2 linked regions of the Drosophila melanogaster genome follow. The protein of the gene in region 1 interacts with the protein of each later gene in a pairwise test. Each region holds a gene or a part of one and is shown on either strand. Other genes may lie near its edges.

Region 1 (7,078 bases):
TATCATATTTTACAATTTTGTTAAAGTTTATTGGCACATCAAAGTTTTCCTGTTTACTTTTAAGAGAGTCAAAGAGAGCAAAATGCGCAACCAACAAATTTGTCGATATCGTTCTTTTAAACTTAAAAGCGGATAAAGGTGGTGCTTTGACGATTTAGTGTTAATTTTTTAGCACAATCTTAACAAAACGTAGATCTTTAGAAGTCTTAATTCTTTTTGATAATTTGCGTTCAACTTTCTCCGAGAAATTTCTTCTCCTCTTACTGAAACCCACCCACTTCGAAAAACCCACACATGACTTTGAGTGTCCAGGACGTGCTCCATGTACCCCTAATGCCAAAGTGCACAGACCAGAGCGGCAACAATAGTCAGCTGAAGGTAAACAACATAAACTATTTAGTCTATGGGTGGGTGGCTATATGTTTGGATTCTGCTAGGATGGGATGGGTCTGCATAATGGGTACGCACCGTAGTAGTCGAAGGTCCCAAGACCAAAACCACACTGTTCAGTAATGTTTGCGTCATAAAGTATGGATTAAACTGTATATGGGCATGCCTATCGTTGTGTGCTCCAACTTAACGCACCGTGCAGCACTTGTTGCAGTATTCAAGTGATTTCCAGATTATCCCCATATGGTGACCTTCCAACCATCTGTAGAAAATGGAATTCCATTTAAGTCATTGGTTAAGCGGATTACTAAAAAGATTAAAGATTAAAAGATTATTTAAAAAAATAATTTCCACTAAGGCGCCACCTGTTGCTAATCAAGAAGTCGTAGCACACTTTATGGCTGCGCCGTTCTAACTACTCTTTTTAGCCCGAGACTATGCAATAGTTTAGTTATTGTTCGGTGTTCATTTATACATTCTATAGTAAATTTGTTCTGGTTAAGCTGTATCAGTCCGCAAATATTGAATTAGATTTGAAATTTTGAAAGTGTATAGTTATTTATTGACAGTCAAACGAACTGTGTCTTACTTTTGCAAATTCTTCGAGCTTCCTTAATATTTGTAGATGGTGCTCCATAAAGTATACTTGATGACGGCTAACGGAATCGCATTAGGATGTTCGAATTGGGAATACTATGTTATTTAAAGACTTTTCGCAGATTTTATTGGCCAAATAAATGTTGACCATTTTACAAGTCATAAGTGAGGTAAATCTGTTTAAGGGTCGCTAAGTAAGTGGCCTTTTCTGGCTGCCAACTTTCACTTGATTCCCGATCGCAGCATACCACCCCCTCTTTAAGACTCCTTTAATGCTCGCGCACGCAATGTGTCCCCCAGCAGGATGCATCCTGGGAGCGCCAGCTCCCGCTTCTCGGAAGGCCGATAAGCCGACGCTATCAACGCCTTACATCCGCGCGTGTCTGGGCAATGGGTTTACCCCTGCCCACCGCATCGCGCATCCTTAGCTCCACCCGCTTCCAGCATCCTGCATCCGCTTCCGCTGCATCTGCCGGAGCTTGCTATCCTGCTTTAGCCAGATTTACAACCAAGCGAACTTCGCAAATTCCGTTGCTGCACGGAGATAAAATCGTTATGCTTATGCAAATTTTATAAGCAATTGTAGGGTTTAGAAATGTATTTATAGTTTTTTTTAAAAGCTATTTTTGGTGTCGAGTAAGTGTCATCAGTATTTGGAATTATTACATCTTTTGGCTTAAGTACTGACCAAATCTTTGCATTTTTTAAGGTGTGTGAGAGTGTGTGCTAAGCTGCGGCCCCGCCGGAAAGTGAAATGCTTATGAAAGCGTCCGGCTGCCCCAGCCACCCAGCTATTTGACCTTCTTTGGCGCATTTGCCATGCAAAATTTAATATATAACCGTAAGTGAGCTTGGATTCCTGCTAATTTGCCAGTTGAAGTATGCTCGAAAAGGAAGTCCCAGGGATGCGGGCTGCAAAGTATGTGTGGATATCCTCTTTTCCGGCTCTTAGCCCTTACAGATTCTAGTGTTCCAAAAAAAAAGATAAACAATGAAGTCTTGACCCAGTTCGGAGTTGCTTTTTGCGCTGCCCGCTGTCATCATCATCTATGTGGTGTGGGTGGTGCCAAATCCACCAACTTTACATACAAAAACGGACGCTTACCAAAATTGAGACAGCTACCGGGAATACATGGTGGTACGAGCTAACCCGATACATTTTCTTTAGATTTTTTCCTTTTTCTTTTTTTTTTTTTTGGGTTGGTTGATATAGGGCAAAGTGCAGTCAGACAGTCATTGGATCATTTGTCTTGGCATTGTTGCTTTTTCCTCTACATTTCTTTTTTGGTCGTTCGTTTTTATATAAAGCTGCGGGTCTTTCTTCAGGCATTTCAGTTCAAAGGGTCAGATAAAGAAAGGATTCGGCATTGTAATATTTTAAGTTAAAAATCTATTTATGCAAAGTAAAAAGAATCCAAACTAGTACACAAGCAGCTGCCTAATTTCCAAATAATTTCGCATTTTCATTGTATGATGCAATATCATGCTTATTCAGTTGCATTTTAATGTCTATAGCTCTTACAATGTTCAGTATATGTATTTTTAGGGTGCAAAGTGCGTATATAAATAAGCTATGTGTACAGTCATTTAATAAAGTCTTTAAAGTTTTAAAAAAATGGGCAGAACCATTATATTCTTTTAAATAAGAATTTATACACATGTATCAAAATCAATTGGTATTATTTGTAATTAACTGTTTTTGTTTAAACCTCTTAGTTGTGCACCATTGTTTCCGTTCACCAAACATTAAAGCAAGGCTAATAAAAATATGAAATTATATAATATCAGAGTTTTATCACTTTTTTTGTTGCCAATTAGCAGACAATGCATTCGTTAACTCCTTTGTAATCTGGCCGTAGGGTGCTGCATTTCCCCCAGATTTTCCATTTTAAAGCATTTTCAGCCGAAATGACGCTCTCGAAACGGCCCACACAGATACACCATCACACTCACACACACGAATTTTGCTGGAAGGGAGAAAAAAAGTTACGAAAGCAAACAGAATCACTGAACCCTGACTGGAGCTGAATGTTCAGAGCAAATGAAGGTGTCAAAATGACAAGCAGAGACAGCTAACAAAAAAAAAAAAGGGAAACGAAGGATGCACACACTTACACACACATAGACATACACTGGAATCCAAGAGGAGTGGGCAGGACGTGCGATGGATGGATGTCCGCCTTTCTCGCCGCCCACTTTTGAAGCCGCCCTTTCCGCCTGTTAGCCCGGCTAACTGTGTAAATGGCAAAGCGACAGCAGCATTTGCTAACTTTGCTGCAGCAGCAACAAAGGCCAAGGCACAGCCCCAACAAAAACTACATAAATGTATCTATATCTATATCTATCTAAGCGATGGCCGTGCATTGTATTGCAGTTACGTGCTCGATGGTCCAGCAAAATGGCGAGGCGAAAAAAATCTCTGAAACAAAATCAACAAAGAAGCACCAAGAACAGCAGGGGTCTTCTCGTTTGAAAAGTCTTGAATACACTTTTCGTATAAACATTTAAGAAGCACTTCTCCTTATAGTCAGAACATATGTAAAAATTTACATTTATATAGCTGGTATTGCTGAAAACAGTCGGAATATCTGCTTGAGTAAAAAGATTTAAAATCAAAATTTTTGTAATTTTAGGATAGTATTTATTTATACTTGTGTTTAGGCAAAAACCCACATTATTGCATAATAAAAATAAATTTTTCTCAAAGCATGTATGTAAAAAGTGGGCACACCAATCAGCTAAATGCTAGAGTATCTCCGATAGAATAGAGCCAGCAAAACAGCTTAAAGACTTTGGCTGTGCCAACTGCTTACTCACTTGCCAAATTCGCAAAGCGGATTTAGCTTGTAGCCAAACTTTAAATGAGTTCAAGCAGATTTTGAGCGCCCATCGAGCTCCAACATCGCCCCCGTTTCCAGTTACGCCCCCGCCCCCCATTGATGACTGTACTTCTGGCGCTGATGAAGCATAATGATGATGGCTTTGCCTGATTGATTGATTGATAGCTGAAGGATTGGTCGCGAGCGCTGGGATGGTGCCCCCTCAATTTGCACTTGAAACTTAAGCGCACGGCCGGCCGCGAATGAATTCCTAACAAGAAGAAATTCAGATTGCTCATACGCCGCGTCAGCCGTCGTGCGGTGTATAATTTTAGACCATCAACGATGCACCACATATAGCACCCCCACCTTCGGCTCACTCCCCCCTCGCGGTACGACCAATTAATTTCGTTCAAATAATTATGAATGTTGGAATATTTTTTGTACACAATATTTGTATGTAGCATTGGGGCAACGAGCGCCGCTTTTTTACGACGACCGTGAGCCGGAAGTGCTAGCGAAAACTGTCGCACCAGCGATGCCAGTGGGCACATGGCACATGGCATTTTCGATCTCCCTCGGCGGCGCCAGTTGCATTCGGAATGGATCAGTGGACGGGTGTGCACCGGGCGTTCGTCATACGCGCCTACTACAAGAGCAATGACTCCATCAGCACCGCCCAGCGGCTCTTCAAGAAGCAGTTCAGCATTTACCAAACGCCGCCGACGAATGTCATCAAGTCATGGCTGAGACACTTCGAGAGCACAGGATCCTCGCAAGGAGGTTGTGGAGGATATGCACGATCCTCGCTGCCTGTAAGTGAAGTATTCAGACCCAGTAAGGGGAATAGAGATGAACTGTAACGCTCCAAAAGTATAAAGTTGTAGGCTATACTTTTTTTTTAATGATTTGTTCTATAAATATTGAATTCAAGTCTTTAACTGTAAATGATTCGGACTATTAATTAAAGATTCTCTGATAAATCTATAAGAACTTTAAAGACGTGGTGCATATAGTTCGACTTCATTCAGCAAGTAAAAAGAAAGGAACGCTCGGTACATCTTACTAGCAAATGGAATACCTTATGTGGTCTAGCCCCTACTAGTTATTTAATTTTATAATTTCTTTGGTCAAATTTGTTTCCCATTAAAAGGCAATTTGTATCATTCCAGCAAATCTTCTGTACCATTTGCAATCAGTGCCTGAGTAATGAGAAGAACTTTAGCAGCTCCGTGAAGTGAATATGCACATGGGGCATAAGTTAATCTGTTTATCGTAAATAAGTTAGTGTGTATGGTTCGCAAATAAATTTCTTGGCTAATTAACAAGCTTGCCAAATCAACACATCTGCCCGCTGGCTGGCTGTCTTGACCCACTTGCTCGTTTGCATTTCTGAAAAATGTATACGCAAAAACCAAAATCAGAAATTCTTTTGAGCAAGTGTGTCATGAAATTGCCATTCGTTTCTGCTCTATATACCTGGGCAGCAGATAAAACAAATATTTTCCAAGTATACCAACCGACGGGGGTGTACACATCACGTCAACGCCGCAAATTGGTAAGTAATCCAGCCAGATTAAATCGAAATTCATTGCCATTCCCGCCACAATTCTCCCGATCCATTAGGTTCGTTCCGCTGCAAATTTTTCAGGCTCTAATATGTCACCTTGGTCACAGCTGAAACCGATGGAGTGGTGTAAGGCCGTTTACAGGGACTATCATTCCTGGTCATTCGTCAAGTGTTCCCTGGCATTCTGTGCCGGTGTCCTCCTGGTCCGAAGCCTCGATGGAAAGTTGCCGGCCAGCAGCTAGAAACCCGAAATTTAGACCTATAACTAATTGAATATAGGATCATATTGCCAGTCATCTAACCAAATTGTCGTCGACGAAGGAGCGAAAGAAATCAGGATGACTCAAACGCTTTAAATTTAGCTGGTATATTCGTTTACTTGTTGACTTAAATAAAACAACAAAAATTAAGTTCACAAGTTTATAGTTTTTTAAAAATTTGACCAAAAACAAATCATGGCAGCTGGAATCTAAAATAAATATGAAATCGACGAGCGTCGTACACTGTGCCAAATTTCCATTGATTGGCATGCAATTTTAAATTAACTTTAAGAATACTTTCCATTTTTTTTTATAATAAACAAGCCTTTGCTTCATGGACTTTAGCTCATCCTTAGTGGCCTTTGTGACTTTCATTTGGTTTATGACACAACTCAAGTCCTTGCGACCAATCAAAGTCTGAGTTGTCAGCTTTTGGCAAAAAGTAAATCTCATATTAGCCATTTTCCGGATGCCATGTTTACTCCGGCACCTTGCTGAAAATGTCCACTTTGGGGGAATATCATCGAGCTGTCATGTTACTTTGAGTAAAAAACCATGTGTGAGGCCTGTTGACAGGCAAGTTGGAGCCGGATGATTCCACAAAATGATACATACGCCCATCCTACTTAGAGATTACAATCGGAAAATGCGCATAAGGTTTTACATTCTGCCCGTTTTTGGCATTAGTTTGAGATATGTGTGTCGGGAAGGCATCCGGCCCCGCGGCAAAGAAAATAAAATTAGGCGTCGCTTTTTGCCATAAACATAAAAATTGTTCCTGCATCCTCAGGAAGCTGTCTTACCAGGGGGCAGAACATCCATAGCCACCAGCGATTCCTTGGTATCATAATTTCGAAATGACAGGTAATTTGGGAGCAGCAAAAGGAACAGGAAGTGGAAGTGGCATCTCGATGGTTCTGGGGCAGGGGATCGTGCGAAGTGCGAGCACCAAATGGGAAAATGATGCGGGTTTATTAAGTATCGTTACTCAAGAGGAAAACCTGCCCAGATACCCCGAACCAAATCCCTCTCAACAAATTTATGATGCGCCATTTTCAAAAAAGTACCTGTACCCCCTTTAAAAAAAAAATGCAGAAAAATGTATATTGTAAATATACTCGAGATGTAATAGTGGGGGGTGCCACGTTACTTACCTTCTTCAACTGGCAGCCACCTAGTGATTTAAGCTCGGCAAAAAATGCTGCCGCACATGAACATGCAACTAATGAGCTGAGTTATTTCCAGTGGGCTGGTGGGGCAGAAGTTACCAGGTTTCTGGAACACGCCACGGGAGCTCAGCTCTTCCGGTGCGGGTGGTTTAAACTCTAATTGAAATTTAGATAGCTGCTACGTGTGCCAGCCGGAAAATCATCGCCAGGTGTCACGGTAGGTGATGAGTTAAACAGCCGGAATGGCGAAATGCGTGCGGAAATTGGCCCCGG
Region 2 (8,573 bases), 4.1 Mb from region 1:
GGTTTCCTTTATCTAAAGATACGGCGCTGATGTACATGGCCCAATCATTCATGTTTTTATATCTCTGTCTATAATTCCCTTATCAATGCTTGCAACTGGAATCGGTGTAATATATGTGTGATATATAGTCGCGATGTCGGTGGCCGGGCTTCGACAATGTCTGCTGCTGTGGAGCGTCGACTACTGGAACTTGGAAGGTAAACCGCGGAGAAGAGCGGAGCTGATTTGCTTTTCAGTTGCCACCATTCAGTGTTCAGTTTTAAGTTTTCCTTGGTTGCTGAGTTGTTGCTCCGTTTTGTTTGCTCGTACTGCTCGTATTTCTTTGCCACAATGCTTTAGTCAATGAATATGCAGCGATAATAATGTCTGAATCTGAATTCCAATCCCACCCCTCCCATCCGCTTTAGTCATGGCGGACAATGTCTTCAAGTCGCACGATATCGGGCTGCGGGCGCAGAAGAAGATCCTCTCACGCATGGCCACAAAAAACATCGCCAAGACCTTCATCGATGGCACGACGGCGTCGCTGCTGGACAACCTCTACAGGCTCTGCAAGATGCACACGGGGAACAAGGCCAAGGCGGAGAAGCTGATCAAGAACATCATCAAGATTGTGATCAAGATCGGTGTGCTCCACCGGAACAATCAGTTCAGCGACGAGGAGCTGCAGAAGGCGGAGCTCTTTAAGAGAAAGTTTCAAGTGAGTCTTAAATGCTACTCCTTAACTACATGTTATTATGATTTTTTTTTGTTGCAGAACACGCAGCTGTCCATCATATCATTCTACGAAGTGGACTTCACGTTCGACCTGCCGTACCTGCAAAAGTCAATAGCCGAATCGCAAGTGGCGCTGAAGTCGATTGTGCAGCCGCATCTCACAGAAAAGTCGCTGGGCCGCATCGACGAGGTGTTCGATTTCTTCGGCGAGGAGGCGCTGCTGGAGACGGCTTTCCGACCAGATTCCCCCTACCGCGAGGTGATGGGAAAGATTGTGGCGGACATAAACGCAGCCATGGAAACGGGAGATATCTGAGGAGATTCGCAAAGCGAGCTGAGCTGCAATTGCGTGCTATGAACGAAAGGCTATATATCGAAACCAAAAAGCAGCCAGTAGCTAGTTGCGAATGGAAAACGCTTGCTTAAAGCTCACCCACCAACACCACCACCACCACCATCACCACCAAAATACAAAATCTAGGTATAAATATGGGCCAGCAGCGGCAGAGATGAAGCAGAGCTGGGAAAGAATGGAAAAAAGACATGGGTTTAAGGAGAAGTTTAATTTAGTTCAACTAGTGATATAACATTGACAACAATATCAAAAGTGTAAAGACGTCCGTATTGATTATTTTGATGACAACGTTAACATTCGTGTACTCAAGGTCTATGTAGTAATAATTAGGAAGAACCAAATGCATTTCGCCAAAGGAATTCACTAAACGGAAATTGTAAACTCGAGCAAAATGCTTTTATCGGTGTGTAAGTTGATCGTTGATCGTACGTGTGAAAGTAACTATATGTACAATAGTTTTAAGTGTTAGATGGAAAATACTTCGGCACATAAGCAATTACTTATTCGTGGTCTACTTTTTGATACTCCCAAACTCGCTGTGTGCACCCGCAAGTAACTATATCAACGTCTTAGTCAGACCTTTGCGTACTTAACCGATCGCCGCCGATCGGAGCCACCCATCTCACCTGCAGTCGTTAGTCGATGCTAAGTTGGTTATGCTAAGTCGTCACCAGAACCTGTTTCTATTTCTATTCGTATTTGTATTCGTATTCGTATTCGTATTCCAAGCCTCCAAGGGGTCGGTAACCTTAAGCATTATTTATGATACTCCCACAATGATATTCCAACTACCCGAAACATATCGAAACTATCTGAAAGGCAACATAGCTAAGGGGACAATAAGTTGTTTGCATTTTTCTATGACTTTTGGTTCGATATTCCAGCGATGGAGGCACAAGTTTAGTGGTTTAGATTTTAAATATTTATTTGTTTACCAACAAAACTATGTTGACTATAAAAATAAAAGCAACAATTACCAAAAAGTCCTAATCCCTATCACTCGGCCCGCTTTTTGTTCAGCACGTCGTGTGCTTCCTCGCCAGCTTCCAGTTGCTGTTGCCGGAACAACTCGATGAGCTTCTCGGTGGCAGTTTGCGGCGTATCCAGCGGCTTTGACGCCTCGGCACTGGGGTAAGCCTGGCCTTGGGCATCCGGCGAACGCAGCAGGAATGGCGTCCACGGGCCTTGGATGGAGGGCACTTCGGTATGCCACATTTTCCGGAGTCGCAGGGAGCTGGAGCTGCCGTTTTGAGTCTTTAGCAGGTCAATCCACTTGGAGATCTCCTCTTGGGTGCTGTTCCTGCAGCTCATCCATTCGCGCTCGCCGTTCACTGGAACAGGATGACATATTTAAAGTGTATTCTAGGGAGCATCCTTATACATTATGTATACGTACAGTACTCTCCCACCAAAACTGGCGTGCGGTGGCGCCTGGGCTTCACATAGACCACAATCCCGGGATTCTCTTTGGCAAAGTCCAGCAAGTGATTCTCAATGAAGTCGCTATTGAACGTTTCGTATGATTAATTTTACTTTATATGTAAACATTTAAGGATTTTGCTTACCGCATGCCTCTGCTGGATCCATTATTCTTGCAGAACTTCAGGGTGATCCGCTGGAGCTGACAAACATAGCGTCCCAATCCATTTTGCAGGGGTGCACGGGGGAAGCCGGACTTCAAGAACAAGTGGCTGTTTGACATTCTGTATTTGTTTTTAATTCAAAACAATTTTTAACTATTTTTTACAATTCCAAATAAGAGACGACGTAATAGCATGCCGCAAACAGCTGATTCTCTCTGACCAGAGATGACGAGTTAGCTAGAAACATTATGTTTTATAGCTATAACCCCTATAACCCCAGCTTACATTGGAACATAATTAATCTCTAGCACATCCTCTTTTAAATATGAACCTATTCCGCGCTGAATTAAATAATAAATAGTAAAGCCCATTTGAACAATTGTATAAATAATAACAATTTCAAGCATATGAATATAGTGCTGCCTGAGTTATACCAGCCAATTGCCCAATCTCTGACGCAAGACAGGGCTGTTATGCACTCTCTCCTCTCTCTCTTTCGCTGATAAAGAAGAAGCGGCACAAAGCGGAAAACAAAAATGCAGGCGAGGCGTCGCTTTTCATTTGATTGGAAAAACACGAAGTAGAAGCGGAGTAGAAAGCGTGCAACGTGTAAAAGTGGAGCACATGCAGCTGGTCTAATCAGCTCCATAAATACATAGACTGCAAAATGGCCACCGTAAGCATTAAATCGCTATTTAATCACAAGTGCAAATGAACAGCATATTGGCCTCCAGACTTTTGTAGGCTCAAAGTTCTCCAAACATGTTCTAGTTGATGAAGAAGAGGGGGAGGAGGAGGAGGAGGATTCCGCCGAGTCTGGTTCCACATCGTCGTTCAGTTTGCAGGAGTGCATCGACGAGTTTAGGGCACGCCGCATTCGCCGTGTGTCCACTCAAAGTCGCGACTGCGAGACCAACAATAACCACATCAACATGTCCCGACAACTTCCCCGAGTCCGCAGAACCACGGATGCGGACCTAATCAACCAGAATCGCTGCAACAAGGAGCAGGAGCGCAAGGGGAAGCCGTGCCAGAACGGCTTCTGCTACTGCTTCACCAGCGACAGCGGAGACTGCGGCTCCACGGCACCGCCACGTGACCAGCACGTGCGACTACCAAGGCGCAGCAGGCGATCTGAGAGCGCCAAGGTAAGCCACTAACCAGCCCGCTACAGTTCCCTCATTAAACTCACATTTTACAGCCCGCCAAGCAGAACAATCTCGGTAGCCAGCGGCAGCAGGCGGAGAAACTTCGTCGAAGCGAGCCGGCCAGCATAAATTCTGGCTTGAAAACTCCCTTAACTGCTGTCAGTCGCTTGAGAGCCGTGGCCGGCGAGGATGAACCGCTTATACACATCATCCAGGAGCTGCACGACAACTGTGTGGTGTCCGAAGTGCGCGTGAACCGCCACAAACTGTCAGATTCTAGCTCCAGGTGCCGGCACAGGAGCACACAGAGAGAGCCTACTAAAATGCTTTCCTATGAGCCCATAGCCTATAAGCCCTCAGCTCCTGTTTTGTCTAACATCAGCGAACAGGAATCCGCTGTGGAGGAAGATCAGGAGAAAGAAGAGCTGGCCACCGAGCCGCCAAGTCGCAGGAGTTCCCGCTCTCGACGCAGTTCCGGAGCAGGTGGACGCCTGCTGCAGAAGCGCCTCTCGCAGGGTCAAGTCAGCTTCAAGGCACGGAACTCGCAGCTGCCGCCTCCGAAGCCGCCGCGTCGCAGCTCCCAAAGTCTGGACGGGAAGCTATCGCAATCCTCGCTCACCTCCACGAATCCTTCGGTGCGGGAGGCCGAGCGAGTGCTGGACGAGTTTCTGCGCAAACGTGGCGTTCAGGTGCCTACGAGCAAGCTGGAACCATCGCTCAAAAAAGACAGCAAGCGCAGATCGTTCCCCATGGGTAAGTTATACCCGTAAGCCCTAGAAAATGAAACCGTAACCAAATAGAAACTATTTTTACCAAAAATCAAATGTATTTACCAAATAAAGTGTTTTGTATCCAAACATTTGGCTTACGGTTTCATTAATTGGTTCCTTGGTTTTCGATGTTTTTACGAGCTTTGCGTCTTTCTTTAGCTGAGGTAGAGAAGCCCAGGCATCCCAGGAGCAACAAGCAACTGCCCACCTGCCCCTCGCTCAGTGACATTGAGCGCGTAGTGGAATCCAAGCGGGGCTCAAATTACGACCGGAATATTCGGCAGGAGAGTAGGCGGAAAGGAGCGCCCACCAAGGAGGTTATTCTTGGCTGGACAGAGCCCAAGATCACCGATATGCTCAACTACGAGGGCAAGACAGCCAGCGAGTTTAGGACACCGGCGGAACCGCAAGTAGCCATTGGATGGCAAATGCCTAAAGCACAGCCACAGCCCGTAGTGCCAAAGGTTTCCTTGGACACTGTTGACGGAAGTGTTTCCGAGAACCTGGCATCAAATATGGTGCACAAGGAGACGCCCATCAAGTATCCCAGTCGAGTTAACACGGCAGGAGGTCAGGCTAGCCAGAAGTTCATCTGGAGCGAGCAGTGGCGCAATCTATCTCCTTGGAAGGGTAACAAACCGAAGAACCTTGGAAAGAAGTCCAAGAACTTTCTGAACAACTCCAAAAAGAAGATCCTGCGCTTCGTCTCGCCGAAGAAGTCTAATCAGGAGGTGCACACGCAGCTGGATCAGCACAGATTCACTCCCCAGCAGTGCACCATTGGCGTACAGACATCTACCTCGCAGCTGGACCTGCAGTCACAGTCTCCGCCGGGAAGCTACCACTCCCCCATGCAGACCACGCCCTCGGGTACGACCACATCCACCCGCCAACAGCTGGACACAGAGCAGCCGTACTTCGATTTCGAACGCAAGGTGAAGGCACCGACGCCTCCGAAGAAGCTGCCCCGTGCAAACAGAGCCCGCAAGCTGGACTTTCAAGCAGCAGCAACATCACCCACCACCTATCGCTCGTATCACAAGGATCTCGACCAGGACGTCACCATCACTAAAATGGGCTATCTGCTCAGCAGCATCAGGGCCAAGCTGGAGGCTAGCGATGAGCACGCAGTTAGAACCTTTCAGGTGAGTCCCTTCCCTTAATCTTTTACTTTATAATAAGTGGGCATGTTCATTTCGTACCTTTATTGATGAGTCCAAGAAAGCATGAAGAGATTAAATACTAGACAACGGTGAATACTGCACCCAAGGCGTAGTGATCCGACCCCAGACGGTAATTGGGGATCTGTCCCGCCCCGATGCACCGGTTGATTGAGGGCAGTGAGTAGACGCTGAGAGGCAAGAGCTTGTGCCTGCTCCGCGATCCTAGCGAGCGCAGGATGTAGTCCACGATAACCCATTCGTTCTGGTATGTGGAGGCAGTACCTTCGCCCGAATCGATGATCTCGAAATGCAGGGGTTCTGGGCAAGCTGTGGAATCCACATCCCCATTCTTGCCAACGAGGAATTCAATAGGCGAGGAGTCGGGCAGACTGTTAAAGTCACCAGTCAGGACGATAGGTGTGTCGGTGGAGAACGACTGCAGCTCCTCCAAAATTCTTTCCACCTGGGCGCAACGGACATCGCTCCGTTTCGTGTTGAACAGCAAGTGCGTGGTGGCGACCACGAATTCCTTCTGCTGCTCCTGCTGCTTTTTGAATCGGAACCTGGCAAACAAGGCCACATTGTCGCGATTGAGTAGAGCCACCGCCTGGTCGTACAGCTCCACTGCTTGGTGGTCTAGCAACTCAAACTTTGAGGAGTCGTAGACAATAGCGCATCCGTCCGTTCGACAGCCGGTCTTCTTTTTGTACACATAAGCCAACTTCTTGCCGTTGCCCATACGCAGTCGTTGGACGAGCACTGGAAGGTGGTCGAACTGCATCTCCTGCAGGCACAGTATGTCCGGATCCAGTTTGAGCAGTTCCCTGAGAAGGTTCTGCTGGCGGCGTTGCCAGCTGAGGAACTCATGCGGGATTCCCACGTACAGGAAGAGGTGCTCCAGAAGCAGATCCTGGGCCAGGATGTTATATGAGACAACCTTGAAGGAGGAGCACTTGTGCGGGTCTCGACCCTCAGCCTGATTCCCCAATGACGTCCAGCGTCTATTCCGATCGTGGCTCGACTCCATCTCCTTCGCTTTTTGTTTGCGCTTTCCGCTGGCTCCTTTTGCCTGGCTGCTCACGCTGCGCCTGATAATCCTTGATGTCGCCTTGAGTGAAACGTTGTGCAGCAGAGACCTGTACATCTCACCAGGTGCGCCTCCCCATAAGCCCGAGCTCCTGGTCCCCTTGAAAGCCTCTTGTTTCTTTAGTGTTTTTGGATGGCGTCTGAATTTCCGAGTGGAGGAAAGAAATCTGCTGCTGTCAGCTGTTTTCACTTCTTGTTTTGCGCCTTCCTTCGCTGGGCTGCATTGCAGCTGATATCGATAACGGGGCGGTACTCGGTCTATCGAAATTTAAAAAAGTGTATCTCGAAGTAGCATTGCAAGATTCGTTCTTACTAACTTTCTGGTCAAATAGATTTAGTTAATCATTGGTTTATTGATCCAAGTAATAAGGCTCTTCTTTTATAAATATATCGTTAATATGGTTTGTATTTCAATAATAAGAGTATAATTTCAATCGATTGCAGGACTGCTCCCGCTTTGACCGCCATGAGCCTCAGATCAGCCATCTTCAAACCGAGAGCTACGACTGCACAGACGGACCCAGCAGTGGTGCAACCACATCGTTGGCCACCACACGGCAACAGCGCGATTTCGACAGCGAGCCCATTTACTCGGAGATTGAGGAAGACTGCCTGCGGATTAGAGGGAGTCCCCACCACGAGGTTAGGACCGCGGCACAGATTATAGACCACACGCCGACTCCTACGGAAAGCTCCACCGCGTATGTGAGTGGGTCTGTGCCTGCTCCGTCGACCTCGCGCGATGACATCAGTGCCATGTACGCCAGGGTGCAAAAGACGCCGAAGAACTCACCGCAAATGAAGCCAGTGGATAAGCCTCAGATTAGTTTCCAAGCTATTCAGCCACAGAAAAGTACTCATTCCTTTTCGCCGCCTATAACAACACATATTGTTCTTGATCAGGCGGTACAACCTAAAAGCTGCACCCAGTCGAATCCAGCGCAGCTAAGCACCCAGATGGTTTCACCACAATCAACTGCTCCTCAGCAGCCTGTAGCTTTGGGTCACTTTCTCCACGAATCCCTGAAGAACGGCAACTTCTTCCAGTTCATGCCTCTGCCCGAGGAGCCGAGTGGAACGGAATCCTCGTGCTCAGCTAGTCAGACCACTGAGTCCTCTGTGATTCGCCAGCCGAAGTTAAAGTTGCCTTCGCCACATGCCCACCAATCCTTGAACAATATCAGTGAGCAGCATTCGCCGCCCAAGCAGAACCGGAATCTTTCTCGTTCAGAACTCTCTCTGCAGCGCAGCGAGATCTTCTTGGACAATCTCTGCCGCAGTGAACTGGTGTTGGATCGCCCAGAAAAGGTGCCCAATGTAAGTGCCATTGCAGTTTTTACAATTTGTCACATTTCTAAGCCAAAGCCCATTACAGAATACTTCCAATATGGATTCCGTTTCGTATGACATGCCCGAGCAGCTCTACGCAGATTACAGTTTGGTTGGAGCGGGCAGCGCCGGCAGCTCCTTCGTGACCAACGATTACGGCTCCGGGCAAATTGAACCTGAGCCGGCCAACCAGAGTACGCCGAAAAAGAAGCAGAGCCAGCGCTTTACAACCAAGGTAGAGATTTTTGTTGACTCCCACTAAAGCTTAAGGCTTCCGCTTGCATCTGATTTCTGACACTGTACATTCTGTAAATAGCCACTACCACACTGTACTCATCCATCGCTTTCTGAAACGCACTTCAAATATAAGATTGTTGTTGAAACTGAGTAATGATTGATCTTTCAGCCCGCTTCCAATTTGA

What was found.
Region 2: the proteins of CG18367 (region 1) and CG30183 interact in a two-hybrid assay, tested with the Drosophila melanogaster proteins (one large-scale study listed by BioGRID).

Annotation. Positions count from the first base shown.
Region 1 is NT_033778.4:19,632,252-19,639,329, forward strand, and holds CG18367 (uncharacterized protein), read left to right. Parts: upstream 1-4,408; coding exon 4,409-4,621; intron 4,622-4,978; coding exon 4,979-5,047; 3' UTR 5,048-5,149; downstream 5,150-7,078. Other genes in the region: CG42753 (uncharacterized protein), read left to right, coding at 3,156-3,410; CG43277 (uncharacterized protein), read left to right, coding at 5,466-5,618.
Region 2 is NT_033778.4:23,692,425-23,700,997, reverse strand, and holds the start of CG30183 (uncharacterized protein), read left to right. Parts: upstream 1-3,173; 5' UTR 3,174-3,322; coding exon 3,323-3,331; intron 3,332-3,389; coding exon 3,390-3,803; intron 3,804-3,856; coding exon 3,857-4,556; intron 4,557-4,732; coding exon 4,733-5,718; intron 5,719-5,765; exon of another isoform or gene 5,766-5,815; coding exon of another isoform or gene 5,816-6,880; exon of another isoform or gene 6,881-6,995; intron 6,996-7,266; coding exon 7,267-8,139; intron 8,140-8,197; coding exon 8,198-8,386; intron 8,387-8,557; coding exon 8,558-8,573. Other genes in the region: sigmar (salivary glands marred), read left to right, coding at 134-197, 408-700, 758-1,033; mRpL43 (mitochondrial ribosomal protein L43), read right to left, coding at 2,069-2,403, 2,469-2,575, 2,638-2,774; angel, read right to left, coding at 5,816-6,880.